Alligator mississippiensis: one gene and its partners. The protein of the gene in region 4 purifies or fractionates together with the protein of the main gene of each other region. This does not show direct contact. Links are inferred from orthologs where the notes say so. Each region holds a gene or a part of one and is shown on either strand. Other genes may lie near its edges.

Region 1 (7,234 bases), on a different chromosome or scaffold from region 4:
ATTCTGTGTTTTTGAGGGCAACAGATGTGGGGCACTGAATCTTAAAGTAACATTAGTTGTTTCTGCCTGAAATGAAGAAACCTGCACTATTATTCTGTAGGCTGTACTTGCTCTGAAAGAGATGACTTCATTCCCCAGCACTGCTCATCTGGCACATTTCCCCAGCAGTGCAGTCACTTTTTTCTGTAAGGAGATGGCTCAATGCAAAGTTAACTCATGTCATTTCCCCCTCCCACCTTGCCAGCTTGTTGAGAGGATGTCCTCTAGCTCAGTGTTTCTCAGCCTTTTTTGTACCAGGACCCATCTGTAAACATTGATGGCCAGTCCTGACCCAGTGCCCCTCACTCCTGACCCACTGTCCCCAGGCCCCAGCTCCCCAGTGTGTGGGGCAGCAGGGGTGGGGGGGTGGTAAGAAGCCCTTTGTAGGCTGGAAGTCTTACAGCCTGCAAGAGAAAAGCCACAGTTTCCCATGTTTTACTTCTTTAGAGGAGAATCCATTTTTTAAGTTTGTTTCTGACCCTTTTGTATAGTCTTGCAACCCACTTTTGGGTTGTGACCCACAGTTTGAGAAACGCTGCAGCTCACCATGCTGATCCAATGGAGTTTTGCACCGTAACTGGAGAACTGTAGTAACTAGTGCTAAGAGCTACATACAAACAGGACTTATGTGAATTGCAAAGTGATATCTGGCTTAGAAGCAGGGAACAGTTGGATATCAAGATAATCCAACCTGTGGGGCATGGAATCTCCATCCTTAGAGGTTTTTAAGACCTGGGTAGACAAAGCCTAGGCTGGGATGATATAGCTGGGGATGGTCCATCTGCTTTGTGCAGGTAGTTGGACTAGATTAGTATTTTTCAACCTGTGGGTTGTGACCTAAAAGTGGGTTGCAAGAATATATGCAAGGGTTGCAAACAAACTTTAGAAATGGAAAAAGAAACTTAAAAAATGGATTCTCCTTTAAAGGAGAAAAATGTAGGAAACCGTGGCTTTTCCCTTGAAGGCTAGAAGAGTTCCAGCCTGCAAGGGGCTGCTTGGGACCCACACTGCCCCTCCCTGCCCCACACATTCATGCCAGCCCCACACACTGAGGGGCTGGGACCTGGGGATGGGGGGCCAGTGGGTTAGGAGCGAGGGGCACTGGGGTGGGACTGGCCATTGATGTTTATAAAAGGGTCCTGGTACAAAAAAGGCTGAGAACCAATGGACTAGATGACCTCTTGAGGTCCTTTCCAAGCCTAATTTTCTATGGTTCTATTATGACTCTATGTCCATAGGGTGCATCTACACGTGCTGATTTAAGCTGCATTAGCTATTTTTAAGGTGCATTAAGGGCACAGATCTACATGTGTGGGCCCTTACTGTGCCTTAAAAATGGCAATTTTAGGCTATTCATGCCTAAATTTGATTCCTGCAAAAACAGAGATCAAATTTAGGCACAAATAGATAAAGTGCCCTAATGAATATGTAAGCACCCTAAGGTGCATTAATGCAGTATATGTCAATTGACTTGGAACTCACTTTAGTCTCGAGTCAGTCCTCACGCCACGTTAATGTGCCTTAGCACATGCTTGTAGACACACACCTAAATTGCCTTGATGCTCATTAGGCAAATGCATATTCATAGATTCATAGAAGTAGGGTCAAAACGGACCTTGTAGATCATCAAAACTGACCCCCTACCCTGGGCAGGAGAGAAAACTGGGCTCAAATGACCCCAGCCAGGTAGACGTCAAACCTCCTCTTAAAGACCCCCAGGGTAGGAGCCAGCACCACTTCCCTTGGAAGCTGGTTCCAGATCCTAGCTGCCTATTAAGTTTAGGCGTGCATAGAAGCACATGTAGACACGCCCTATGACCTCGGGGGAAGACAAGGGCGGGAGGTTTCAAAAGACTGTGTTCTCCAGAGGTTGCCAGGTAGACTGGAGTAAAATGTGTCAGCAATTTATAACAATGTCCTCCCACACAGTGACCTGCCCCTGTGTCATATCCCTCCCTTTGCCCCTGGACTTCCGGTCATTCTCTCCCTCCTTCCTGTCGTTATTGCTCTGTTCTTGCTTTGCCTCACATAATGTTTCTTCATCTTTCCTCTTGGCATTCTGCCGAGAGTCAAACACAAGGTCAGTGAGTGTACATGTGCCAGGTATTCATGCTTGGGGTGAGCACTGTGTGCAGTACAGTTCCCAGAGCATCTGGAATGGGGGCTGCTGGCAGCATGCATCCTGGGTTCTGCTCATGGGGCTGGTCTGGGTCAGTCGAGACCCAGGGGCAACACCAGGGGCTGAATAACAGGACACTGTGGGCTGTGTGCTTGGTACGGACTGTGGAGATATTTTGCTTTCCTGTGTAGCAGAAAGGTGTGGCCCTCTACCGGGACCTCTTGAGCGAAAAGGGACACTTGGCCCTTGGTTCAAAGACCCCCTGGGAGGCAGAGCAGACAGGGAGAATGAAGAGGACAACGACACAACTGGACCTGGAGACAATGAGGAAGACAGCATCAGAATCATCAGCAGCGGAAGTGACAGTGCCGTCAACAGTGACAAGGACAGGGAATGAACTGAGAATGTAAACTCCAAACCAGCAGATTGGACAAAAGGACTGCAGTTGGGTTAGGGAAGGGCAATGGGTCGGTGTGCGGGGGCGCACGGGAGTGGGTGCATTTATTGTAATGGGTGCACAGCTTCTTAATGTGGTTTAAGGTGTGATGGAAAGTTTTATACTAGATGATGTGTATGTGTGTGTATATATATATATATATATATATATATATATATATAAAAGAAGTCTATTGACAACATTTCACAGAAGCAGGATGCTGGCTGCCGTGGTTCCCCTGCTTTACCTGTAGTTAGCAGGTTAGGGTGTTAGGTCTATGTTGTGTCAGGGTTGAGGGTAGTCTGATGTAGTTTAAATTACGGTTGTATGGGATGGTTTGGACAGGGATGATCCTGCCTCAGGCAGGGGGTTGGACTGGCTGACCTCTGGAGGTCCCTTCTAGCTCTACTTCTCTATGACTAGCTGCACCCAAGTGATGCTCGTCTGTGTCTGTGCTACAGAGTGGTGCCTGACTATCGTGAGGGCCAACCTTTTCAGCAGATGTGACCCAAATTAAGCTCCACACCCTCCCTTAGTGCCATTCTGATCCCCCTCCCCTGCCTGATCTGCTGTTCTGCTTTTTACTCCTGCCCTGTGCTGTACATCTTAATGGATCTCCCCATCTGTGCTGTTGTCCTTACAACACTTCCTGTTATGGGCATACCCTAATTCTCCTTCTTAATAGCACTGTTTGCTACAGGACTGATATATTTGACAGTAAATCTGCCTTCATCTGTTTCAACTGAGTGCTTAAAAATTAGCTTGGCTTAGCCTACCTGGGTGTCCTTGTTGTGGGACACAGGCTTCTTGCTTTACAATGTATTATATTTGGTACTAAACTCTGGACTGCTAAATGTCTCTATGAATTTAAAGATAACAGTTGCAAACTCGGCTTCTCTACAAATGCAACACGGCATCCTTTTTTGTTCCAAGCCTGATGCAGATCAGGGAAGGTGCCTGTTGTTCGCTGGAAGCGATCTGTTGATTCCAGACAGCGGCTGAGGCAGGGCAGGGGAAGAAAACCTCTGCTGGTGAATTTAGACTTTCCTTGCAGCAAAACTCCCCTTCTGTGTTTGGACTTCTCTATTCCAGGGAGCATTTAAGCACGTGACACCAGTGGTAGTCGACTGGCAGAGAGCGGCAAGGGAACAATACCCGCACGTGGCGTTTCCAGTGCGCGCTGTCTCGCTTACTGGGAACTCCCCCCTTAACCAAGTCCATGATGTGCCCAAACCTGTAGCTTGATTGATATTTGCACCAAGCAACATCCATACACACCGCGCTGCCTCGGCTGGATTCAGGGTAAGGCCTGAGCAGCCAGGAGCAGGGCGGGTATTTCCGTGCCCCTCTCGTGCTAGTGCTCGCTCTGCCCTTTCTAGTGTCTCAGACCCTGCTCGCCCCCGCGTCCCCAGGGCCCGATCCCGGCTCCGGGCCGAACCGCCCCCGGCCCCGCCAGCCTCGGGAGACGCGGCCTCGTGCTCCGGACAGCCCGCAGGGCCCGGCCGCCTCCTCCCGCCGCCTGCGGGCGCGGCGCTCGCGTGGGCCGGGCCTGAGGTACGCGGGGCGCCGGGGTGGGCCTCGCGGAGGTGCCTGGGGCCGCCCCGCCGTGAGGGAGGAGCCGGGCGGCCGCCGGCAGGGGGCAGCGCCGGCCCCGCGCAGCAGCCCGCCCGGGAGTCGCCCGGCAGCGGAGCGGAGCGGAGCAGAGCAGAGCAGAGCAGGGGCGGCGGCGGCCGAAGTTGTGCGGCGGGAGCGGAGCGGAGTGGAGCGGCCCTGCCATGGACGATCTGGGTGAGTCCGGCCCGGCCCGGCCCGGCCGCGCCGCAGCCTCCTCCCGCGCGCGGCCCCGGCCCCGGCCCCGGCCGAGCTGCTCCCCGCGGGCCCGGCCCGGATCCGCTCCGGGAGTCTCGCAGCGGCCGGGGCTCGTGGGCGGCCCCCGGGGGCCTGCTCCAGCCCCGGGGCGCGGGGCTCTGCGCGCTTCGGCTTCCCCGCCTGGGGCCCCGGGGGAGGCCGCCCCGTGCTCTGCGCTTTCTTCCCCGGCCCGAGGACGTGGTTCTGCTCCGGCCCGGCCCGGCACTGCCCGGCGGGACTCCCCTGGCGGCTGCTCGCCCGCAGACAGCTCGGGCCGCGCCGGGCCGGGCCGGTGCGGAGCCGGCGATGGCCTCACACCGTGGGAGCTGAGCGGTGCCAGCTGCAATTGTTGCATTCCTCAGATTCACCGAGGCGGCGGCGGCGGGGGGGCTCTGCCAACTGACCTGTGCTTTACTTCAGCAGTTGCTTATTTCCCCCCCTTCATCAGTGGGAGGATTTAAGGTGAACTGCAAAGGTGGTCTGGAAAGGTGGGCTCCTGTCCTCTCTGCACTGCTTTACCATGTGTAGAGAAGCCACCCCTTCCCCCCAAGTTTAGTTTAGTTTTATTATTTGTTTCTTACCTTAGGGGGATGGATGCCTGATGTTTTGAGTTTCTTCTCTGCTTGTTCTGGAAGACTTCTTAGAGGTCTTGAGGCTTTTTCATGCTTTGGTTTAACTAGTCCTTTCTGGTTAGATGTGAAGCATGTAGAGCACAAGCAGCAACAAAGCAGGAGTTTTAAGCAGTTTGAATAAAAATCTCTTCCTATCTGAGCAGCACCGGTTTCACTCTTGTGTTACTGGCAACCAGCTCTCAGTTTGTCCATAGAGTCTTGCAGGAAGAGGCAAGGTCTGAATATTTTATGGAAGGAAAAACAAACAAACAGAAAAGGGAAATACTTCTTTCCTCTTAATAACTTTTCCTGCCTACAGACTGTTTCATCAAGAAACAACCCAGCTCCAAGGCTAGTTGCTTTCTCCTTTGCAGAGCAATGGTAGTGTCAAAGTCTTAGCCTTGGGTCATATACAGGGGAGGGGCAGTGTGTTGAGTGGTGCAAGCCAAATTCAGGCTCCACTGAAGTGAGTGCAGTTACACGCTGGATGAATTTGGCCCTATATCTTTTAAACTTTTTGATCTAATGAAAAAAGAATGACCAGCAAGAGTGCAGCTTTCCTGCTTCTGGGACTGGAGATCTCAAAAGCTGAACACAGCAGGTGAAGGGACTTGATTTGGATTGGTTTTTAGGGACTGGGTAATCTAGAACAGGTAAAGCTTTGCTATTGCTTTTCCTTTTCCTCTCCAGCATCGGAGAAATCTGTTTTGCAGCGTGCAGGAAACGCTGGTGAAGAGTTCTGCAGATGGCACTTGTCCGTCCCAGCAAGTGGGAAGCCTGCGTGTTCTTTGTGTGAGACCGTATTGGGGGAAGGGTGAGGAGTTTGAGCAGTTAGCAGATCTGGACACACATCTCGTCTGGATCTTCCAAGATGGGGACATGCTTGAATGCTGATTAAGAATGACAGTGAACCAGTTTCTTTTAAAAATATTATCCACTAGTGTGTAAACTGCAATTACAGTCTGAAAAGGAGGGAAAGCCCTAATTGCAGGATCACCTCCTCTTCTGCCTCTAGAATACTAGAGAACAATGCAGTGCGATGTACAGCAGGAAAGGATGACATGGGCACTCCCAGCATGAGAACCACCAAATACTCATACTTGTGATTATATTAGATGGCAGACTAAGACACTGAAGAGAGCGCTTGTGGTGCTCTGTTGGGTCCGACCAGGTATCCATATAACCAGCTTACTAGAATCTATCACACTCACAATAAAGAAACCTGACTTATTTCCTAGGTAGTTACAGTATTGGACCTGCCATCTGGGGATAGTCTTACATTTGCAGTTCTTCAGTCAATTGGAGATGTAGCTTGATTAGGTGTCCTTGTCTTTCCTTATAGCGTGGCAGAAGCAAGCTCTGTGTAGGAATTGCTCTTCCTTCTATAATAAAATATAATTTTTACTAGACAGTGAACTTCATTAAAAAAACCAAACAAACTTTGTATGATACTGTTTTAACCTCTCAATTACTTTTTGTTCGGGATGATGTGTGGTGCTTTTCACTTAGTTTGGACCAGGGGTGTGCAACCTTCTGGCCCCGCAGGCTGCCTAGGTGTATGGTAATGGGGCTAGTTTGTGGACTAAATGAATCCCATGGGTGAGATCAGTCCATGGACCTGAGCCAGGGTCAGCAGACAGGGTCATCTGCAGGTGCAGTCTGGCACACCCATCTGGCTCCACGCACTGGATCTGACTGTGTATTGATACCATGCGCTGGCCTGACTCCATGTGCCTGATCTGGTCATGAAGTGGATTTGGCTATGGAGTGACTCTGAATTCAGTGCATGGGACTGTCATCTGGCCCGCAGGGGAGCCACAGCAGTTAATGTTGCCATCTCTCCCCTGCCACCAAATTTCCAAACTCATGGAGAGCCCTGTGGACTGGAGGTTGAGCACCAGTGATTTAGACAAAAAAAGTCTGTTTCACTGAATTCTTTGTCTCTGGTTCTTGTGGACTACACATCATTACAAAATTTGGATTTTCAAGTATTGAGGTAGATGTTAGTACCCATAAACTGTCTTCATTGACAGGATGGAGCTGCAGACTTTGCAAACCTCTACTAGATTTTGTGCTTTTTAATTATTTTAGTAAGTCACATTTGAAAATTGTTTTTTTTTTTTAAGAGCTCTTCTTTAGTGACTTTAAAACTTTCTGGTTCTGTGCTGTTTTTTGGGATTG
Region 2 (7,968 bases), on a different chromosome or scaffold from region 4:
CCACTGCTAAGAAAAATACAAACATTTTAGAAGGGAAGTCCGACACAACAGGACCCTCAGGATATGACTGTGTAAGGAGACATGGACAGGCAATGTGGATAGATGTCATGCACTGTGTCCAGTGTGGAGTTGTAATACACTCCAATGGAGAATGTGGCAGTGGAGAATTACACGTAGATTGGGAAAATGGCAAGAACATGGCTAGTAAATCTTTAAATTGTGTGAAGAGGTACAAAGACACAATTGCAGACTTAAGCCATTGGAGACCAGATGCACAGGACTGGGCTGTTGGCCCATAATGGACTGTGACTCTAACTCCGTGTCACTGGTTCAAATACAGCCAAGAGGGGAAGTGACCACAGGTGTTGGAAAGCCTGTTTCACAAACACAAGCAAGAGAGTTGGGGTGAGGGGGATAATGTACAAACTAGAAACTACTATAGGCTTGTCTGAAGTGCCAGACATCAAATACCCCTGTAAATATCTACTCCCTTTCACATCCTCACAGCATCTCCTACCTACCAACATGCCACATAACTGGGATTCATAAGGTATCTTGAAGTATGGATTTCTTCCTCTCAGGTTTGTGACCCTACCCAGAGCGGTGTCAATCACAAAAGGCTCCTGAAAGGCTTCCCCAGTTACTGGTTAAGTTTCATACATGTAATCACACAGGAAGTTCCAAGATACATTTTGGGTGCCAGGAGAGGCTGGACCATGTATAGTTGTGCTGTTGCCATTTGGATGGGGGGGTGATGATCTCCCAAACCCCCAATACACACATCTGGGGGCCAACAGACCCTCCTCTCAGATAAGACAGCCCGTGAGGCACTACCTAGACCACAGAAGTAGCCCTGGAGCCAATAAAAAAGAGGTCATCAGGCAAACTCCAAAAGATCCCAAAGGAGAGAGGGGGCTCAGGACCAGTACAGGGGAAGGAAGATATTAGGGGCTTGTGGAGGGCTTATGGGAGAGCAAACAAAGTTTGCTAATTCAGCTTTTTGTTTACAAACCCTTCAGTGAACCTGTGCTGAGTTCTGGGTTTCTAACTGACCTAGCCCTTAATTACTTTTCACTGCACTCAGTGTTTCCCATATGGCTGTACATTGCACTGTCATCAACTTTAACCCATACACTGGCTCCACTGCACCTTCATAAAGCAACCCATTAACAAGAACAGCAGCAGCTTTGTTTTGTGATGGTCATAATTCTGAAAAACAAACACACACACACTAATCCAAAAAGATTAAAGACCCAAAAAAAGGAACAGCACTTCCCTGACCTTTTGAAATAGACTGATGTGAATGTAAGAGGAATTGTTTTACATATATTGTATCATTGGAAGAAAGAGCTAAATATGTTAAGACTGGTAAAGGATTTTATGTGGCTACAGGGGGTTTAGGGAGGTAATGGGTGCAAAATAATAATAGATGAATTCTGCACAACTCTTGCAAAATGGGAATTTCTTTGTTCTTTACTGGATAATGTAATGGAAATATTAGCTGTAAAGCTCTAACCAGCTCTTAGAGAGGCATGGGAATATTTTATTTTGCCTGAGTCTGTTTCCATGCTTTAAAGGTCTCAAAAATGAGCCCCAGTTATTTTCTACTTGCTAGCAATGCAAAAGGACTTTTTGGATGAAATGTATCAAAAACAAATGAAGTACTACACTATTTAAAGATGCCTATGGGCAGAGGGGAGGGGCATACACTACAATTTCTTGAAGAAATTCCTTTCCATTTCAAATGTAACAGCTTCCAAAGAATTGCCCAGATGTTACTTAAGTGCTGGGTTATTCAAATACGAATCAGTATTCTAGGAGGGACAAAGACTAACCTAAAGACTTACACTTTCTGTGACATGCATTAATATTTATAAAGCATGGGCCATCTAACTTCGTGCTGAAGCTGGCACACTTGTCCAATGCTCGGGGGGTGGGGGGGGGAGGAGAGGAAAAATTGCAGTATAATGGCAAAATCATAATTGCCTGAGATCTGCAAAATAATTTGGACTATACACCACAGAGGTCATGTGACTGAAACCAGATCGACTGTCACCAACTGGAATATTTGATCCTCACCTTAAACCCGAACGCTCAAGATGTGTTTGACAAACAACTGGCAAAACAGCCGTGAAGCCTCTGAGTCTGCTGTGCCTTTCTGTCCCAGCAGCACAGACAATTTTCCCAGTGCTCAAATACCAAGATAAGCACAAAGGCAAACAATACTGTATTTACCCAACTCTAAGACGAGGTCTTTTCCTCACTGAACATCCCAGAGACCTCGTCTTCGAATCACGTTGGAGGGTGGTGAGGGCAGGGGGCTGCTGTGTGGCTCAGCTCCAGCCCCTACACAGGATCAGGCCACAGCCGGCTACTGCCTGCCCCAACCCCAACCGCAGCCCTGCGCTCGCCCACCTGCCCCTCTCCCTGCCCTAGCGGCGGGTGGGGAGGACAGGCAGCTCGCCCCTGCCCCACCCACAGCGGATGAAAGACGAGCCTCCGAAATTCATTGCTATGCCTGGAACAGGAGAAGCCCTGTCTCGATGCCCCAAGCCCACACTCCGAGCACTGGGAAGGGGGCTCGGATCCGAGTGCACCCGCTGACCCCCAAGCCCCGGCCCGTCCCGCCCCACGTGGCCCCGAGCGCGGCAAGTGCCAGTCTTCTCGGCGCGGTCGGGAGCGGGCTCGGGGCTGCAGGCAGGCTGCGAGCGCCGCCGCGGCGATGCTAGGGCTGCACGTGGGGCGCGAGCCCGGCCCGCTCCCGGACCGCCGCGCCGCGCCGCGCCTGGCCGCCCTCCCGCCCCTGCCGTCGGGCGCAGCTCCCGGCCCCGCTCCAGCTCCCGCGCATACCTCGGCGCCGGAGCAGCTGCTCAGCGCCCGCCCCGCAGCTGGAGCCGCAGCATCTGGCCCCGTCGCCCGGGCTGGCGCGGGGAGGAGGCGGGGGCGCCGGGCACCTGCGAGCGCTCCGCTCCCCTCCGCGCGCTGCTCTGCGGCGGCTCCCGGCGGCGCCTCACCGCTCCCCCGACCCCGCCCGCCTGAGGCTGACCTGCCGCTGACTCACCGCGGCGCTGCAGCCCGGGGCAGCCCGCCCCGTCCCGCCCCGCCCCGCCCCAGCCCGGCCGGCTGCCCAAAGGGCGGCGCCCCGAGCCCCCAGGTGGCGGGGGTGGAAGGGCGGGTGGCAGCGCCGCGGGGACTCGAACCCGCGCTAAGGGAGCGGGCTCCGGGCTGCGGCGTCTGCCCTCTGCCGAGCAGGTGGCAGCCGCCGCCGCCGAGCGAGAGCCGGGCGGCCTGGAGCAGCCGTCGCTGCCCCCACACCCAGCCCCGCAGCTACAACAGGCTTCTCGCCCCCGTGCAGCACGACTCTGCTGGCCGGGCGCGGCGCGCACTGGGGCCAGCTGCCGTCGACAGCAGCGCTTCTCAACCTTGTCTGGAGCAGGACAGACCCATTTGTAAACAGCCGCGGCCAGTCCCTGCCCCAGGCCCCGGTGTGTGGGATAGGGGGGACCCCAAGGAGCCCCTTGCAAGCTGGAACCCTTTCAGCCTGCAAGGGAAAAGCTGCGGTTTCCCACGTGTTTCTTCTCTAAAAGAGAACTTATTTTTAAAGTTCATTGGCACCCCTTTCCTATATTCTCGTGACCCACTTCTGGGTTGTGACCCCTGGGATGAGAAATGCTGATCTAGGGCTGCCTCCAGGAGCAGACTTGGAATCGCCTCAGGCTGTCAGACAGCCCCTGTGCCCAGGCCACTGGGATGGGATCCTGAGACATGCCGGAGGCTGCAAGTGAGAGAGGAACAAGGGGGAAAACCCTGGTGATACCCAGGTCACCTTCCATCCACTCTCAGCTGGTGTGTGACAGGCTTTCCATGTGCCATTCCCCAACGTGGGCCAAAGCCACCATATAGAGCTATAGGGCGCCCCCTCTCCCTCCTCCCTTGATGAGGGGTCCACTAAGGGCCCATCACTGACACCATGGGACAAGTCAAGGACAAAAAGAGATGGGAATGAAGGTCTGTGTGACACAGGATAGTGGACAAGATGGACCTATGGTCTGACTCAGTAAATGGCAGTTCTTATAGTTTAGGACTTAGTCATGCAAGCCAACCAGAAGGCAAGTGTTGTCTCCATTTTACAGGTGGGGAATTGAGGCACTAATCAAGGGATTAAAACACTCACACAAGGTTACACAAGGAGTCTGTAGCAGAATCAGTGTCTCAGCTCCAGGGATAATTGTTCTTAGTAACAATTTTGGACAGCTACTGATCAAAACCAGATTTTAATGGAAAGACTCCATATCCCATTAGCAATCACTGGACACAGCCACTCACCTTTTACATGTTATAATATAAACCTATCACTTTTTAATTTTGCCCCCCAGGTTTATTCTCTTTAATTGTGCTACTAAACTCAGTAGGAGCTCTGGAGGAGTGGGACAAGGAGGATGCTGCTGCACTTCATGAATTGCCACTGGGGGGTGGGGAACGGGACCCTCGACTTTTAAAATAGACATTTTTGTGGGGAAAAGTAATTTTTAAAGAGTAGATTTTTTTTCTGAGCCTGAGTTGTCACACTAACTTTTGTACATACAAAAATAAAGCTTAGAAAACACTTCTTTCCAAATGCAGCCAGCCAACCTACCACTATATGCATCAGCAGCACTTTCACAATGTGTTTTTTGCCTGTCTCATATGAACTTCCTGGCATTAGAAGTAGAGACATCTAACCTAGTTGGAAAATAATTCACTGACAAAAAGAAATAGCTCTGGAAGCAGTATGTTGCCCTTTTCTATTTTATCTGCTTACTTTGCGAAATCTTTATAATATCTTGCACTTCAAATAAATGCCATAAAAGAATATTCTGATTATTTTAATCAGAAGAGTGTACTACTCATCCAATAGCTACTGCATTTTTAAAAGAGTAGTTTTATTTACTGTCTTCTTATTTGAAAGTGCTGATGATGTACTGGGAGATGTACAAAATGAAAATAAAAACAGGCTTGGCCTCCCCAAAACACAGAATCTATAAAATGAGCAAGCCATAAAATAGTTTGATTAAATTGTTGAACGTTGTTTTGAGGTCAGTAGGAATCCTTCTATTTGTTTCAATGGGCTTTGGCTTAGAATCCAATACTGTAAGGAAAGGCGATGCGTTATTATTGCTAGTACTGAAAATCCTAATACACACTTGTGACTGTTTTATTGGTTCAAAGAACAGCCTTCCAAGGAGAACATGGAGGTTGAGCATACTGTATATGTGCCAAGCCTTAGAGACAGTTGCCTTTAGAGCATACAGGTAGACACGCTGCTTCCAGGAGAGAACATGTTGAGAGAGGACTTCACCTTCTGCGTGAGAGTAATGAATGTGTTCTCCTGCACTGCAATTAAACGTTGTCCTCCAGCTTTCCTGAACAACTGCCCTTGTGCCCCCATTCCTGGGTAGTCATTATCCAGTTCAATTAGTACATAAGTATGAACAGCTACATGAGATTTGGATACTTTATTATTTCTCAAAAGAAAAACTAAAGAAGAGCTCAACTGATCATTTGTATGTAAAGATAGCCCCTGTCAAGAAACAAATGATTCATTCTAGTCTGTTCTTTAGTGGCTGATGCACCTGCTTTGACTGAATAGCCTGCAGTAGAACTGTTATCAGTGTTACAGTCTGTGCTATTCTAAGGTTAACAAACGGATTGTCCCCAACATAAAAAGGAGAAACAGATGTTTCCTTTCAATTTTGACCATGCTGATGCCAAGCTATTTTAGGTTAGCAGTATGAGACAGTACAGTAGGGCTTAACAATCCGCAGATATGTTTTTGTTCCTAAGGTGATAGACATGACACCTTAGCAGGAGGCTGAGGCACTTTTCAGGAGCAGAGAATTGGTGAAGCAGGATCTGGCTTGCTTTCTATTTGTCTTCAAGTTCTTCTCCTGACTTCTTCTCACCTACTTCCTCTGCCTAATTTGAGCTGGTACTTTGCACTTTGAAAGGAAGGCTGGCACAGATATAATAAGCGTTCTGCATTTTAGAAGTTGGCTGCAATGGCAAAACAGTTCAAAAAAGAGGCAGAAAAATCTGAGCAGTCTGTTCAAATACAACTGGAATGCACTGTAGAGAGAACTGGACATCTGCCTCCCACCATTACTTGTTTCAATATAGACGTTGAATGAACAAGTCCAAGAACTGTCTAAAGAACAAGATCTTAGCCTTACAGTAATGATTTACAAAAGAAAGCTTTAGAGCTGATCTCTTCAGTGTCAAGGGTGGAGAATGAAAATGCAAAATTCCGTATTTCTGTGAATTACTAGTGTCATGTAACAGACACATTCATCTACCCTTATTTACACCAAATGACACTCTCGCAGTGAAGAATTAATATGAGTGCAGCTGGCAGAATTAAGTGGAGGTTAAGCACCTAAATACTGTTGTGGATCTTGGCCCTTTTTGCCCCAGTTGGTAGTTTAAAAAAAACTTATTATAAGAATAAGCCCACTGTGAATATTTGTATTAGAAAATATAATACTGAAGCTCCTTCAGACAGATGTCTGAAAAACTTCACTCTCTCACCCTTGTGCAATTATTTAGAATCAACTCCAAAAAATAAATTTACATACCTAAAGAGCATTTTAGATGGGTGTAAGCACCTAAGTTCAAAGCAATCTATAAAAACTCTGACTAGGTGCAAGTGTCTGAGGCATATACATTTTTGCCAGTTATTAAAACTAAAGTTATTATGGTGCCTAATATTTCCTTTGGTCAGAGGCATGGGTGGATCTGGGATTTTGTAAAGGGCATGCAAGCCCATTGATTAACACTGTTAGAATGGCTGCATCCCTGCTCCCAGGATGCCCTGGGACAGGGAAACCATGGACAGAAGCATAAGCTGGGGACTTAAACATTTAAAATTTTTTTTTTTCCTTTTTCCTTCCCCTCCATGTTCAGTGGCACATCCCCTCCCCACCCTTCCCACCCCCTGCTTGCTGCTGCTGCTTTCCATGTCCTTGGCTCTCACAGGGGTGGGGGAAGCTCCAGAGCCAGGCTGAATGGGGATCTGGGCTCAGCTATGGACAGCAGCAGCAGTGGCAGGTGGTGTCGTCCCCCCCACCCCCGCCCAGCCTGTTCCCAGGCTGGTGTGGAACACTCCAGGGGGAATCAGGCAGGGAGGAGGAACCCACCCCCACCACTATTGCCCTGGAATGAGCCTAGTTTTACAACAGCCTAGCTGGAGAGGGGCAAAAGCTGCTCTGGAGTTCACCCCACTCCCAGGGTAGCTGGGGACAGCAGCAGTGGTAGATGTGGGGTGGGAGAGGAAGGGACATGCAGCTGACCATGGAAAGGAAAGGGGGAGGGAATTCTTACCTGCTTTGGGGACTTAAAAAAAAGTCCCCAGCTGCTACTCCCATGTTGTAGTCTGAAAGGTGGTGTGGGGGAGCAGGAGTGCAACCATCAAACTGTACCCACTTTGGGCCCACCCTTTGAGAGGTGTTGCCATCCTGAGCCTTCAGTACATCTCATGCCTTTGGCAGGGGTGTCAAATATATAATTTGCAGGCCAGATCTAGCCCCTGGGGCTGTATCATCCAGCCCCCCGGTGCTGCCCATGGGTGTTCAGAGTGACCCACAGGCAACATGCTGGGTGCACTGGATGGTGCCACATGCTATACAGGTCGTCCGTTCCAGCTGGCATCCTGGAGCAGCGGAGTGGTACATAGTGTATGGGTACATAGTGGCTGTGTGCTCTAGGGCCGTGCTTTTTGTAGAGTCCTGCAGTGGCAGCTCTGGGGGTCCAGAGCTGTACTGCACAGCCCAGTGGCAGCAGCAGCTCCAGAGCTATACAGCAGCAGCTCTGGACCTGGAATGCATGGCTGGTTTGTGGGTCTGGTGTGACCTGCAGACCAGCTCCATGCCACTAATCTGGCTATGGTTGCCCCCTCACCCCTTTCAGATGACACCACAGGGCCAGATGCATTTG
Region 3 (7,758 bases), on a different chromosome or scaffold from region 4:
TTGAGTCATGTCTGGAGCTCAGGGCAGCATTTTCTGCTTTGGGAGCTCCTGGAGGGGGTGTAAGGCCAAAGCTTCTGCCTGCCACCCAAGGCCACTGGGAGTGCTCTACCACAACAGTCATGTGCCACAGCTTCAGCTCTGGTGCATATCACTGCTGAGGCTGGAACTACCTCAGCCAACGGGGTGTGTTCCCAGCCCTGGACACAGCTCCACCCAGGACAACACATGTGAAACACAACCTCTGCAGTGACCTGGCCCAAGCATGAGGCTCTGTTAGTCCCTAGGGCACGTGGGATGCTGCCGTTGGAGGTCATCTGCTAAACTGGGACCTGTTAAAAATACCTGGACTTGGCCCAGTGCCTCACTACACCCCAACCCCCAGGCTGGACTGCAGCTAGTAAGCTCACATTAATATCTCAAGCTAACAGCAGTATCTACAGCTATGGGGGCCAAGCTCCTTGGCAGGCATGCCATGCGTCACCCCTACGCCCTCCCCAAGTGCCACTGTGATCCCCTTCCCCTTCCTGATCTACTCCCTGCCCCACCTGCTGCTGCGCTGCCTGTATCCTCCCTGATCTGCCCCATGCCACAGCTTAGCCATCTCTGATCTAACCCTCTTGCAGAGGCTAGTGGAATCTTGAAAAATTAAGTCTCTTTCCTGCTGGTTCCCAAATGCTAGCAGCTGGGGAGAGAGATAGGGTTACCAGCTAAAGAACAGGTCTCCACCTAGAGAAAGATCCCTGGTTTGTCACAACAGAGCTCACCTGGGATATTCCTGGTGCTGTGTTAAGCCACTTCCCTCAGCAAGGACTGAGCCCTGTACCGCACAGGAAGCTTGGGGTTCTCTTCCAGGAGCTGCCACTGACCCACTGCAAGGACTCAGGCCTTGTCCAGGGGAAGCATCAGTTTTCCAAGCTCCCGCTTAGCTCATTTGGGCTCCCAAGTGCCCAGTTCCACTATTCCTTTGTACAGTTGCAGTTATCTACAGCCCCAACCTCCCCCTCTGCCAGCATTGACCCCAGCAGCCTCTAGTATCAAGGAACATGTCTGAGCCATGGAGAAGAGGCCAGAGGGGGACAGACACCAAGTGTCTACAACTGCAGATACACAGAGGCAGTCACAGACCAGTCGCGCACTGGTCTCTCTCCTCCCTTGTACTTCAGTCTCCCTGCCTGTACTATGGGTCTTTACCTGTAACTCAGGCTCCACATCGTAAGAACATATAACACTCCCATCCCTGTTGTTTTACCATGTGTCCATGGAACCTATTGGCACCTTTTCCTGTAGCCTCCACACCTGAGGGAGGCTAATAAAACACTTGGTGAGCTAGGCCCATGTTCTTAAAGGTGACAAATAGGCCTATGTCACACTGCAACGGAGAGCAGATGCTAGAAAGAAGAATGAACAGGGGTTTTCCCCACTGTTCCTCTCTTGCTTGCAGCCTCCAGCATTTAAGGCCTACGGAGTTTGGATTCAGAGGCTCACTCCTGTGCTCAGTCACGACCAATGCCCTTTTCCTCGAGATCTTACAAAGCAGCTGGGAAAAGAGGGGTCACCAGAGAGGCACTAATAGTGAGGCACTAATAGTGAGGCATATCCTTGGGTGGGGGAGAGGTCCAAGAGACACCCCTGAGCACGCACTGCTGCATGCAGTCCAATGGGGCCGGGCCACAGCCAGGGCTCGGGGCACCACTACTTTCCTGGGCTGGGCACATGGGAGGCTGATGCCATCCCCCACTATGCCAGAGATGCGCTCTGCGACACAAGCCAAGTTCCTCAGCCTCACAGCTCCCACCTGCACAATGGGATGGCAGCACTGCCCAACTGCATGGGGCTGCAAGGACTGACGCTGTGAGACTGAGGAGCTCAGGGGCCAAAGACAGACCACATAAGAGCAGCGTTGGCCCTTTTCACAGCTAACTGCAATGGTCAGTCAGCCAGGATAGCCAGGCCCCAGCCAGGACTGCCAGCTGGCACCATTCATTTGTGCTGGGCCGGGCCGGGCTGGAGGGGAGATGGAAATGACAGAGATGGTAGCAACTCAATTGAGCAGTGAGAGACATTCCAGGTTTGCTGGCTGACAGCACAGGCAAAGACCCTAGCCAAGGACTCTGCAAGGGTAAAGTGGACAGGCTGCCTCCCAAACCAGGCAAGATGAGCCATGCAGGGGGTAGGGCGCTGAATCAGGCAGCACCCTCAGGGCAGGAGCAACTCAGTCACAGCACTGACACAAGGGCACAGATCCTGGAGTTTCCTTGGGGCTGTGCATCTGCAGCCCCAGGAAGACCAGGCCTGTCCTGAGCTAGAAACACAATCTTGGGGTCAGGGGTTCTTAGGGGAGCCAGGCCCACAGAGAGGAGCACGTGGGACAGTGCAGAGCACAGCACCAGAGGAGCAGAGCAGGGGGGTGTCTGTTGGGATGGGGATCCCATGGGGAAGAAGTAGGGGGGAACCCTGAGGACAAGGATGAGGTGTGGGGGACACCTACAGAGTCTCTACAAGGCTGCCCCCCGGGCCTAGTTTCCGTGGAAATGGGTCTCCTCAAAGACTTGTCCCTGGGGGAGAGGCTTGTTCCTATGGGGACAGAATGTGACCCCTAGGCGGGGGCGGGATGGAGGCTGGCTCCCATGCAGACAGACCTCCCAGGGGGATTCCATGGAGCTAAGGGAGGGCTCCTGAAGGAGGAGACAGAGGATCTCCCCAAGGCCAGGCCCGGGACGGGGGTTCCATGGAGAAGGGGTAGGGCTCCTGGGGAAGCCCCCCAAGGCCTGGTGCGGGGGAGGTGGTTGCCATGCAGGCAACCATGGGGGGCGGGGGGAGCTCTGCACGCACCTGGTGCCGCCATCGGAAGAGACTGGCGGTGTCGATGTTGGGGTGCGTCTCATCCTCATCGTCCGACACCTCGATATGGTCCCACACGCTATAGTCCACCATGGTTGCGCAGGGCCGGCCCGCGCCGCTCCCGCCGGGCCCTTCTGGAACCCTCCAGCACCGCGCACGCCCACTTCCGCCCGACCTCTCATCACTTCCGCCAGCCCTCCCCGCTTTCCGTTCAGCAGCCCGTTTTGGCTTCCCCGGCGCCACTACGCACGCGCGCCGCTGCCCACCTTGTCTGCCCTGTGGGGAGCGGGTGCCTCCCTTTGCCGCGCATGCGGGCGGCCAAGAGGAGCATCATCCCTCCCCTCCCAGTTGCTTAGTGTGCTTGCATCGTCGTCCCAACTCAAGATGGCGTGGGCATTAAAGGTGTACACACCTCAAGTACAGTGTGATGGGAGGGCTTCCTTCCATGTGTCTAACGTGGTGGGAGAGGGAGGAGAGTCCCCGGATGAGGCACATGCTGGGATACCTCTCCAGGACACATGCGGGGAGGGGGAGGGGACCCCCCACTGCTACCCTCGAGGAGGGGAAGGACCCCCTGAGCTATGCACAAGTGGGGTGGGGCAAGGGATTGCCCCGCCCACCCCTCCTGCCATGCACATAGTGGGGGAGAGGAAAGGTCAGTGTGCCCTCCTCCCCCCTATTTTGGTGCTTACAGCCCCCCAGCCCTCATCCTGCTTTGGTGCTGGGGCTGGCCATGAAGGGCCTGGTCTGTGCTACTTTGAGGCATACCTAGCAACTGCAAGCCAGGAGCTCGGGGCTGGATCCTTCAAGGCTGGACATGGGAAAGCCTCCTGGCCTCACCCCCTCACAGCTACTGGCGCCTGCCATGAGGGAAACCTGGTGCCTGCAACCATAGGGGTTGGGAAGGGCCAACCCCTCCCCACTTGCATCCATGGCCAGAACCTTGCATGGACTCAGGACTGGTCCCATCCATTGCATTGGTTGTGGGGTTGCTCTGAGCCTTGTAGCCGCTGGCAGGGCGGAAACATGAGTGCAAACACATAAGTACACATGTTCCCTGCTGAAGGATCTCAGCCAGATATAGATTCCCCCCTGGCTGTCAGCAGCCCCCAAAGCTGGGGGGACTGACTAGGAATGGCTCAGACTCCAGGAAAACACCTGTGCCCAGGTCCTGAGTCTCTTTGGTGGTGTTTGAATTCTGTCTCCCCACCTCCAGAGGCTGGATGCAACCCCCAGCAGATTCCCAATGTTTTCCCCACTAGCTTGGTCCCCGCAGCTGCAGGTCACCCAGTTCTCTGCCCCACCAGCCCCTCAGTAAGGAGTGTAGGTTTAGCCATGCCAGGACTGTCATCGCTTCATCAAGGCTGCAAACAGCGCTGCCCACGGCCACGGAGCTGTTGCTTGGAATTCCAGCCTTGTACCAGCTCTGCACAGCCTGGAAACTCCTTCCACTTATAGTTTCATATTAGGTAAGGTCGGAAGGGACCTGAGCAGATCATCAAGTCCACCCCCCTGCCATGGGCAGGAAAGAATGCTGGGGTCAAATGACCCCGGCTTGGTGATTATCTAGCCTCCTTTTGAAGACCCCCAGGGTAAAGAAGACCCCTCCTTTTGAAAACTCCTTTTGAAGACTCCCCAGCTCCATGCTTGGGCTCAGTGGGCCTTGATGCAATGATATCTCAGAACCAAGGCCTGAAGATGGATCCCTTCATGGCCTGTGACTGCGATGGAATATAGGACACAGAATGGGTGAAAGGAGCTGGAGGAGATTCCTCCTGCACCAGAGGTAGCTGCATGTCAGGGTGGTGGGCAGCATGGACTTCCAGTTGGGTCCAAAGCCAGCAATGCTGAGTCCCTGCTTCATTCCACGCTCCCAAACCCCCTGGATCAAAGCTCTCTAGCCCTGGCCCTGTGATGAGACCTCACTCCCTGACCTGCTCTTCCTGGCCAGGCTGCTCTTAGAGATGCTTCCAGAGCTCTTAACTGTCTCCCAGGCAGCCACGTGGAGGAGCAAGGGAGGCCTGCAAATCCCACATCCCCAGTACCATCATCCAGAGCAGCAGCCAGGGCCAAGCTAGGGGATCTTCCTGCCCAGGGTGATGCTGCAGTGGCCCTCAGTGCCCCCCAGACAGATCTATACCCCCTCCATTGCAGCAGTGGCCCCCTGCACTTGGTCACTTCCTATCATGCTTCCTTCCCCCTCCCCCGAACCCCAGCAGAACTTTGTGCTGTTTCAAGGATCTGCAGACCAGGCAACAAATGCTGGCAGATCCCCCTTCCCCAGGCTCCTGTTTTTTGCCATTCCAGACCTTCCCCAGCACAGCCAGGCCAGTGCAGGGCTGCAGCTGAGCTGGTGTCTGTCCTGCTGCTAGCAAAGGCTGGTGCCAGGCCATGCTGTGGTGCATGGGCTGTGTGCCAAGGCAAAGGCCTGGCATGGCCAGGACAGAGCCTAGGGGAGCAGGCAGGTGGCAGGAGCATATGGCAGAGGCCATGGGGAGCCAAAAGGACTGGAACAAGGCCTGCCAGTGGTGAGCACTACCCTGCAGCCACTGAGGCCTGGCTGAATTGGTGGGGGTGGGGCAGTTCAGACCTGCCACTGCCTCCCTGCATGGCTGTGGCCACATCCCCTGACTCCTGCAGGTTGCAGGTGTGACCTATTGGGTGGCCTTTCCCTCCCCCAGGCTGGATCCAGATGCAGCAGGGCTGCTGCAGCACGGTGTCTCTGCCAGGGACCCCACAGACCTTGGTATGGCCTGCCTCTTGCAGGGCCTGTGCAGGGCCTGGCACCATCAAGGTACTACCAGGGCAGGCCTCCTGTTGACAGCTCTGTGACCTGATCACAAGGCCGTGGGAGAGAGTGGAGAATCAGATGGGGAGGCAGGATGCCTGGGTTTTGCCCCTGCCCTGTGGGGTGACCCCCCTGCCTGCCCCCCCAATCCCAGAGCCTCAATTTCCCAGCCTGGTCTGTGTCTGGCAGCTGTACTATGTGGGCTGCTGGTCTGGTGGGGAGTCTCCCCAAGTTTGCATGGTCCATGCAGCCCCATGGCTGGGAGGAGCATCTGCTCTTCACCCCAGTGGGCATCCCCAGGGCCCTGGGGCTGGAGGGTGTTAGTATTTCTGCTTCCATTGATTTCCCCTCCCCCCACCATGGTCCAGGGTGTGGTGCAAGCTTGACTGCCCTTGACATGTTGCCCCATGGGACAACTGCCCTGGCTGCAGCTGGCTCTCAGGCAGGAAGTAAGTGGCAGCCCCCAAACCCCCTTCCAAAGTAGGGGGAAGAGGCAGGGAAAGACAGAAGGGCTTTCCTTCAGAAACCCAGGCCTGGGACCCCCAAGCCCCAGCCAGCATGGGGCTAGTGGCCATGAGAGCTCGATCCCAGCCCCCATCCTGTCCCTGGGAACTGGGGGAGGATGAGTTAGAACAGCCCCGATGCTGCTCTAAGTGACACTCAAGATGTCGAGGAGCCCCGGGGGAGGAAGAGATGCAGCCAGAACCCAGACCCGGCCCCCAAGCTGCGAGGGGAAGAAGGGAGCGACCTCGGGTGAGAGAGGCAGGAATGGAGGGGGGTGCAGGCAGGGCCGGGCTGTGAGGGGCGCCGGGCTGGGCGTAGAGCAACCCGCTGTGCGCCTCGGGGAGACGGTCCTGCCCCCGCTCCCCCGCCCCGGGGAACCAGCGCCGGCGGCTCCGTTCACACGCTCTGGCCGCTGCCCGCTGCTCCTAGCGCCCAGCACTCGCTGGGAACCCTGGCGTCCGGGGCACGGGCACACACACCCCCGGGGAACCCAGGCGTCCGGGACATGCTCACACACACGCAACCCAGGCGTCCGAGACAGACCCCCCACCCCCGGGAACCCAGGCGTCCGGGACACACACGTCCCCTCCCGGGGGAACCCGGGCGTCCGGGGCACGCACGCACGCAGACAAACACACACACACGCGCGCACGCATACCCGGGGAACCCAGGCGTCCGGGGCACACACGCGCACACACGCGCGCGCGGGGAACCCAGGCATCCAGGGCACCGCGGCGGTGCCTGGATGGGAGGGCGGTGCGCGGCGCCCCGGCCCGGCGAGGTAAGGGGCAGAGCCGAGGGCGGGGGGTCCTGGGGGCGGACCGCAGCCTCCCCCCGCCCGGGGCCGCTGGGGGGCTGCTCCGGGGTTCGATGCTGCGGCAGCGCCTGCGAGTCTGGCATCCGCAGGCGGCTGTATAGGGGGAGCCCGGCTCCGGCTCCAGGTCCCTCCGGCCCTAGCGCTGGAAAAGGCAGGGACTCCAACTCCGCGGGGAGGCGGCACAGGATGGAGGCGACCACCACCTCGGTCCCTGCCCGGCTCCCCCCACGCGGTGCCAGCCGTCTGCGGAGGCCAGGCTGGGGCCAAAATCCGGCCCGGAGCAGGGGAGATGCGGGTCTGAGGTCGTTGGGGCCTTGGGTGGGCCCCCTCCCTCGGGGGTGAAAAGGGTTAACGCCGCACCCTAACATCACCCCAGTGGGGTAAGACTCGGCCCCAGTTGGGAGGAAGGTCTTCCTACCTCCACCTGCTGCTCCTGCCTCAGTTTCCCTTCATGGGGGTCCCATGCTTGCCTGATGGGGCCCAGCCTGGATGGCTATGGGTCAGTGGCATGGGTGGGGAGCAGGCAGGCTCATGGGGGCCTCGGGCCTCCAGCCTCTCTGGTACCCCCCGTGTGGCACCTCAGACCATCCCCAGAGGAAGATGCATGTCCTAGGTCTGCCCCCCCCCCCCCACACACACACACACTGCCCCACCATCCTACTGCTACACCCGGGCATCCACAGAGCCAGCCAGGGAGCAGGCAGCTCACATATGCTAGTCAGGTGTTCCCTGACACAAACCCGCCATATCACATAGACCCCACACTGCAGGCACTGCTTGGGGAGTCCCCTGTGGCTCCAGGACCAGG
Region 4 (6,949 bases):
TCCACCCCCCCCAAAAAAAAAAACACAACAAAAAACCTTACCCAGCTCAAAATATACATTCTAATCCCAGGTCCCAGAAGGCACAGTTAGTTCTGATGCCTTTGGCTCAGTCTCCTGGGGGAGCCTGCATGCAGTGATGAGGGCCATAGCCCAGTTAATTGTCTCTCCATAGGTACCTGGAGATGAGGTGCTCCTTGCCATCCAGAATGACGCTAACTAGTCCAGCTTATTTTCACCACCACTGAAAGATGCTCTTCACACAATAGGACTGTCTGTACTTAGTAATTAAAAGTGCCTCGACACAGCAGAATTCTTAGCATGATGCGAGTACTCAGTGCAAGGGATGCCTCGCTACGGCGGGAAAAGCCTTGGTGCAGTGATCAGCTCCCGCCAAAACTAGCAGTTGCACCATTTGGATGCAGGCTACCGATTGGCTCATTGTAAATTATTCATACCGGCGGCTAGCAATTGGCTCACTAGCCGTATAAAAGCTTGGGTAGTTTCCGCCCAAGTCGGAGAACTCCGCGTGTACGTTGGGAACTAGTTCCTCGTGTACCTTGGAGCAAAATTGGGGCCTGATCAACCACCAACCACTCCCCTTCGACGACCGTCCCGACGTACCCCATACCCTGCATGCTCAGAAAACATCGGTGATTTTGCTAGTGCCTACACTGTGTGCATCGTCGCAAGTCCCTGTACGTCAGTTTGTAAGTAAAGTTCTTTTCAATTCAACCAGTACGCGTTTGTGCCTAATTCCACTCCATCACAGCCCCATTCCGGCTATACTCGGCACCCACAAGGACCAGTCCTATAAAATGTGAGGAACTCCATGCAGCTGAAGATGCTGCAGGTCACAAGACAAGTCCCAGCCTTTCATTGGCAGGTCGAAGCAAGGGAGAAGGGACTGTGGTTGCCATGGCAATCTTGATGGTCATTTATGTCACTCAAGGCCTTTTGGTCCCATCAGTCCCGGCAGGGTCTCTCACAGAAGACTCTGTCCAGCAAAGGCCCTAACTGGGAGACAGAAGTCCTTGACTTTCTCCTCCCCCATCCGCTGCAAGCCACTGTTCCATGGCATCAGTCCAGGTTGCAGGCCTCAGCTGGGCAAAAGCCAATATTCAGGTCTGGCTCTACCACGCAGTGCACCATGAAGTTCCTTAAGGTAGCATGAAGAAGGTCACAGCACAATATGCATCATGGAGGTACACGAGCTCCAAGCCAGGGTCAGTACAGGCCAAGAGCCTATATGGCACAAGTAGTCACTAGAGGGAGGGCTCCATACTTGGCATAGGGGAAGATCCCCGTTTATGCTGTAGTGACCCGTGGCAACCCCTGTCCTTCCCTGGGTTTACCACTTTAAGAAGGATCCATTAGCTTTGTGCTGAATCACAGGAAGTACACTGCTCTGACAAGGCCCAATTTGGCATCTCCCTTACGCAGACATCTAGGGCTTTGGCTGCAAAAACAGAATACAAAAACCTTGGAAGTGCTGCAGGGTACTGGCTTGCACTGTACTGTTCTGCTGGGACAAGAGAGAGCAGTGCAGAGGCAGAAAGGAATACAGGGCTATTGAGCACAATGTACAGAGGCAAAAATAAAAAGCCAGGATGGAGGATAAGAGTGAGGGAAGTCTCAGAAGGTATGGGGCTGGTGGAGGGAACAGACATGTACCTCAGTCCTCCAAGGTAGTCACCCTTCCTTTGCTCAACATAGACTTGACACTTTCCAAGCTCTGTGCTGTCTCTGGTTACAAGTCAGCACCTTTCTGCGCTGCCTCAACACAACCCACCCCTGCTAATACAAACCCATGACCTACCATAGGGAGCCTAAACTAGAAGTAGGGCTGAACAACAGGTTCACACATCGTTAAGTCTAAAATCCCCTTTGTCAGGGTCACAGAAATTTGGGGAGAGAGGGAAAAGGCCTCTGGATAAAAGAGACTCCCTTCCCCACACAAGTGAATGGCTCAGGTCCAAGCAATACCAGCAGAAGCCCCACTGAGCTCCCTCGGGCTTCTGTTGTCTATATAGCAGATGAAGGTACAACTGCAGTACAGCTATGCCAGCCCACAACACCTTTATATTGCTAGTTCAAGTAGCAGTGAAGATATAGCAACATCAGCGTGAGCTGGCAGATCAAGTATGTGCTCAATGGCCCCATCAGGCCTGTGTTGCCCCCTCTTCACTGCCATCATTACCCATAGGAGCCTGATCAATGCTAGCTTGCCTTTGTTGTCTGCGTAGCTCTATCCTTTGTGGGCAAAGTGACTGCTGGTGCTCCAGCAAGGTGCTCCTCTCAGCAATGCTGCCAGCTTGTAACTCTATCCCTCCCCACCCCACTCCTTATGCAAAGGATGAGTCACTTCAGGTCACCCAGCAGGCAGCTTTCTCTAGCACAGTAGCTCTTAACCTTTTTTGTACCAGGAACCATTTGTAAACATCAATGGCCAGTCCAGATCCAGTGTCCCGTGCTCAACAACCTGCTGCCCCTGACCCCCAGCCCCCAAACATGTCAGGTATGGGGGGGCCTCCCCAAACAGCCCCTTGAAGGTTGAAACTCTACCAGCCTGCAAGGGAAAAGCCACAAATTCCCCCTTTTTTCTTCTTTAAAGGAGAATCCATTTTTAAAGTGTGTAGATCCATTTTTTAAAGTTTGTGACTCTTTCATATATTATTGTGAACTGTGGATCATGATCCACAGACTGAGAAACGCTGCTCCAGCAGATCTTTAAGAAGGACAAGGGACTGGTTATAGGTGGTTCAAAGAGAGCTGATCCTGGCCAGGAAAATCGCCACATTTTTGGCAGTTGTCACAGCAGCTAGGCAGCTGCACTGATGATGAAAAGGTTAAATGTGATAAACAACTTAATTCCAAAATCTACCTGCACAGACTGAAGCAGTATTGTGAAAGCAGCCCTAGAAGGAGCTCCTGATAAAAGCCTGAAAGGGTCAACATCTATTCCGTAGTACCAGGAAGGAATGTGCTTTGAGAGAAGCAGTGAGGACATATCAGGAATGTGCTGTGTGCGAAGGTCTCTGAAAGAGAGAGAGAGAGATCAGTGGCTCTACCAGGAGGAGGGAGAAAGAATGAGCCACAGAAGAAAAGAGGAAGGGGAAAACACAGCAGGTAAATCCAGTGCCCATTAGATAGCAGCCAGGCCAACTCCTACCTACCCACTCTAGCTCCATCTCTTTCAGCCCTGTTAAACAAGCTTCTGGGAAGTTACCAGATGAAAGCAGACAATGCTAGCACCAGCAGGATATAGCCTCCCTGGGGAGTGGCTAGGCGCCCCCCCGAGTCACAGCAGAGCCAGAGCAGTGCCAGGCACAACCCTTTGATGCAGGTACTGCTGCTACTTCAGGAAGGAGCCAGCACTGCCAGGGCTCCTGGCCCAGCTTTCCAGGCCCTGGTCGCAACACACAAGGAGGGAAAACCCAGCCTGGTAACTGAAAGTGTACCAAGATCCTGGGTGCAAAAGATAGATGCTTCAAAACCAGACTCCTTCTCAGCCCTACAGCCATTACTGTGCATTTGTGTTGGTAACGCTGAGTTCCACTCATGGACCAGGGCCCCAGAGGCACAAACAACCAGCTCCAGCCCCAAGGAGCTTACAGGCTAAGCTCAAGTTCCAAACTTTACGCAAACTGTAAAGTGGTCACCCATGGGCACATCTCCACTGAAAATGCACTGCAGGGTAATTAGCATGTAGGCAGAATTATTAGCTCCACAGCAGCACTATTGCAGTGAAGCTATGCCACTTCCAGAAGCAGTGTGCCTGGAATGGTGCAATGCGCTTGAGCCTGCCCCCACCAGGAATGGCAAACTTTTCAAGCAGAGCAAGAGAACCAAGATGGGGCAGAGAGAAGAGTGGGATTACTTCCCTGGACAGTGACCAGAAACAGTTTATGATAACATTTTCTATCCCCTCCCCAATCTCATTTTTTCTCATAATCAAACCACCCCTACTCCCTGCAAGTTTAAAGCATGCAGCAATAGAGGATGCATTTGATTATGGGGAGAGAGGGAGGGATCTGTCATCCCTGTTGACACCTGGTTTATCAGAGATTAGGATTGCAAAGAATGTTCACCACAATAGGGCTCCCTCCACCCCCCCAAGGTGAAGTGCAGTGCGATGGAAAGTGGCCAGCATTCCAAAACACTCATTTCTGACTGATTAGACATGGCATAATAAGGCAGGCTTTTCTGCAGCTGGATTAGTACACAAGGCACGTTCAGGCCTGCAGGAGCTCTTACTGTTTCAGCTGAAGGGAATAATCATAAGCGACTGGTTGGAGGTTATGAGTGTACTGAGCCGTTAGGCCTCAACTCTGTCCCCTACACCCCAGATAGAACAAGAAATCACAAACAGTTTAAACACAGCTGGTGGTGTCTGCTGTGGAGATGCCGACAAAGATGACAACAAAAGAGACTTCCCACCCACAGCAAAGTGTGGTGCTCCGTCAATTGCTTCAGGTCCACACACTCCCTGGTAGCTGGGCTGAGACTTGGGATCTCAACACCTTTAAATGAAGGGGTTAGCCTCGCCCTCGTTACAGCTGGTTGTATGTTAAATGGTTGAAGTTTAATGCCCCCTTCACCTCTGCCCAACTAAGTAGAAGCATCATACCCACCTCTGTCCAGCTACAGCTTTTCAAGGGGTGGGGCAGCAGCAGGCGAATTCAGCTTAGGTCCTCAGGATCCTGAAAGATACAGGGGGTGAAAGGTTAGCGCAGGGTCTTCAACACACTGCTCTCTGTTTGCTGCAGACAGGTCCACTGGGTCTCCCTCCCAGCCAAGCTCATAGTTCCCTGCACTCCAGATGGAGATCAGGCTGGTGCCTTTGTTCCCCTAGTCTTGCCCTCAGCCACCCTGAGGGAAAGACTGCCTTAATCTAAAGTCCCAAGCCTCTTTTCACTCCCACCTTCTGCAGGCTTGTTACCTTGGCAGCTCCTTGAAGTAGAGGGCAGCTAGCTAACATCCACCTCCTGATCCCTCATGTGTGAGGAGCGGGATGATTCTCTGCTCCACTTCACTGAATCAAGAAGGAAAAGATGGGGAGGATGGTTGGTGGCAGCCCAGAGCTATTGATCAAGCTTATGTCTGAAAGTCTCTCTGCCTCCGACAGAACGCAGTTACTACAATGCATGAGGAACTATGCCCCGAGAGAACCAAGCTGGCCTCCCTAGTACCCAGAACTGCCAGTTCTCTTTAGGAAGGAGAGAAGTTCCATCTCAGTGGGTTCACACACAAGCTCCATGTTGTACTAAGTGAGCAGGGATGTCATGACCAGGGATCTGAGTTTTGTTTCCCCAAGGGAAAAACAAAAAAACAACCCCCCCCCCCCCCAAAAACAGAGAAAACCACGTATTTCCCTCTTCACCAGAGGAACCCATGGATTTTGCAGTTTTGCAAAGAGCTCTCTGCAGGCTGGCATTGTTATAGCTTGTAAAGGGCTAGGAGAGGGCATCCTGTGCATGTATATGCACATGGGCCCAGGCAGCCTGGAGAGCAGGTCCCACAGGTAAGTGTGAAGGGGGGAGATTGAGGCCCCCATTGGGAGGAAGGGAGTTGGGCAGGGCTAGGGCTGCAGCCCAGCTAGGCAGTGCATGGGGCTTGGAGCCTGAGGATGCAATACATAGCTGCAGGGCCCTGGCAGGGAGTGGGATGGGACTGTGGGCAGCTCATATGGGAGGCAGAGGGGGACGGTTCCCCACCATTGCGTGCACTCCAGAGGGCCAAAGGGACCCGCATCCCCAGACCTGTTCATGGGGCAGGAGTGGGAGCAGGCTGCCCACTGCAGGCTCAGACTCCTGCCCTGCTGCCCTCCCCGGGGCCTCTGCAGCCCAACAGGTGAGACCCAGCACTGCAGGGCAGAGTGAGGCCATGCAGGAAAGCGGCTTACCACTGTGAGCTCCGCGCTGCCCTGGTGCATGCTCCCTGTGCATGTGGTAGCAGCAGGAGGCGGTGGAGCCCCTCACTGTTGCCACGCATACAGGGGACTCGTTGCCAGGGCAGCATGGAGCTCGCAGCAGCAGAGATCCCTCTGCGGCCCCACTCTGTCCTGCAGTGCTGGGGTGCACCCACTGGGCTGCAGAGGCCCTGAAGGTGGGCAGCAGGGCACCCTGCCCACATCAGGGACCTGGGTCCCTGGCCCTGTAGCCCTGGCAGCTGGGGGTCCCCTCCGGCAGGGAAGGAAAGCTTAGGGATAGCATGGCCGAGAGCAAAGTACACAGCCCAGCAGAGGATTTTGGAGTGTTTGGTTGGTGTATTTTGATTCGCTAAAGCTGACTTGCACCACTTGGATCCCATTGATTGAGCATGCTCAGATACTGCCACCACTTGGGAGCAACCTAGCCCTGTTTTCCTTCCAGAGGCGAATCCATCGTTAGCCTCGTCAGAAGTGCCACCAGTATCCAGACACAACATGCACCCAGTCACTTCTCTCCATTTCCCCATGTGTCATGCCTCTAAGCAACTGTCCATGCTGAAATTCTGCCTTCCATTTATTACTACACTAACCTTCACCCCTGTTGGGGATACCAGGAGGAATGGAGGAGCGCTAAAAAAAGTGCTACATAAAAAACCCAGCAGACACTTTACACTTGCAATAGCATCTTTGAGAGGAACACAAAGCACTTTATGAATCCCCATACTGACCACTCCCAGACCTGCTAAGCCTCAGCTGACCTCTAGAACTGGATGAAAATATTACTGAAAAAAATTCTGTTGTAGGGAGATGAGGAGGAAGCTGGTTCAGAGAAACATATTGGTCCAAAACTAACCAAGAAGAGCACAGGTGTAGGACATGCAGCTGGGAGGCAAGAGACCTCAATTCAGGTCTCTTGCTCTTCATGATTCAGAGCAGGCACTTAAACATAGGTCACCCAGTCTAGCCAAAATCCCCTAGACTCGCTTATCTTTTCCCCTATCTCCATCTGCCCCAGCTCCT

The links.
Region 1: the proteins of SRC (region 4) and PXN purify together in Homo sapiens (co-immunoprecipitation; 4 studies listed by BioGRID and IntAct, with this or other methods). This does not show direct contact. The link is inferred for Alligator mississippiensis from reciprocal best matches to the Homo sapiens genes SRC and PXN.
Region 2: the proteins of SRC (region 4) and MET purify together in Homo sapiens (co-immunoprecipitation; 4 studies listed by BioGRID and IntAct, with this or other methods). This does not show direct contact. The link is inferred for Alligator mississippiensis from reciprocal best matches to the Homo sapiens genes SRC and MET.
Region 3: the proteins of SRC (region 4) and CDC37 purify together in Homo sapiens (affinity purification with mass spectrometry; 3 studies listed by BioGRID and IntAct, with this or other methods). This does not show direct contact. The link is inferred for Alligator mississippiensis from reciprocal best matches to the Homo sapiens genes SRC and CDC37.

The regions. Positions count from the first base shown.
Region 1 is NC_081833.1:21,181,620-21,188,853, forward strand, and holds the start of PXN (paxillin), read left to right. Parts: upstream 1-4,228; 5' UTR 4,229-4,369; coding exon 4,370-4,382; intron 4,383-4,393; exon of another isoform or gene 4,394-4,930; intron 4,931-5,023; exon of another isoform or gene 5,024-5,409; intron 5,410-5,743; exon of another isoform or gene 5,744-7,234. UniProt on the Homo sapiens protein: Cytoskeletal protein involved in actin-membrane attachment at sites of cell adhesion to the extracellular matrix (focal adhesion). Recruits other proteins such as TRIM15 to focal adhesion.
Region 2 is NC_081827.1:49,356,373-49,364,340, forward strand, and holds the start of MET (hepatocyte growth factor receptor), read right to left. Parts: upstream 3,013-7,968; 5' UTR 2,851-3,012; intron 1-2,850. UniProt on the Homo sapiens protein: Receptor tyrosine kinase that transduces signals from the extracellular matrix into the cytoplasm by binding to hepatocyte growth factor/HGF ligand. Regulates many physiological processes including proliferation, scattering, morphogenesis and survival.
Region 3 is NC_081831.1:22,389,154-22,396,911, forward strand, and holds the start of CDC37 (hsp90 co-chaperone Cdc37), read right to left. Parts: upstream 3,005-7,758; 5' UTR 2,935-3,004; coding exon 2,833-2,934; intron 1-2,832. UniProt on the Homo sapiens protein: Co-chaperone that binds to numerous kinases and promotes their interaction with the Hsp90 complex, resulting in stabilization and promotion of their activity. Inhibits HSP90AA1 ATPase activity.
Region 4 is NC_081832.1:17,296,015-17,302,963, forward strand, and holds the start of SRC (proto-oncogene tyrosine-protein kinase Src), read right to left. Parts: upstream 3,002-6,949; 5' UTR 2,956-3,001; coding exon 2,882-2,955; intron 1-2,881. UniProt on the Homo sapiens protein: Non-receptor protein tyrosine kinase which is activated following engagement of many different classes of cellular receptors including immune response receptors, integrins and other adhesion receptors, receptor protein tyrosine kinases, G protein-coupled receptors as well as cytokine receptors.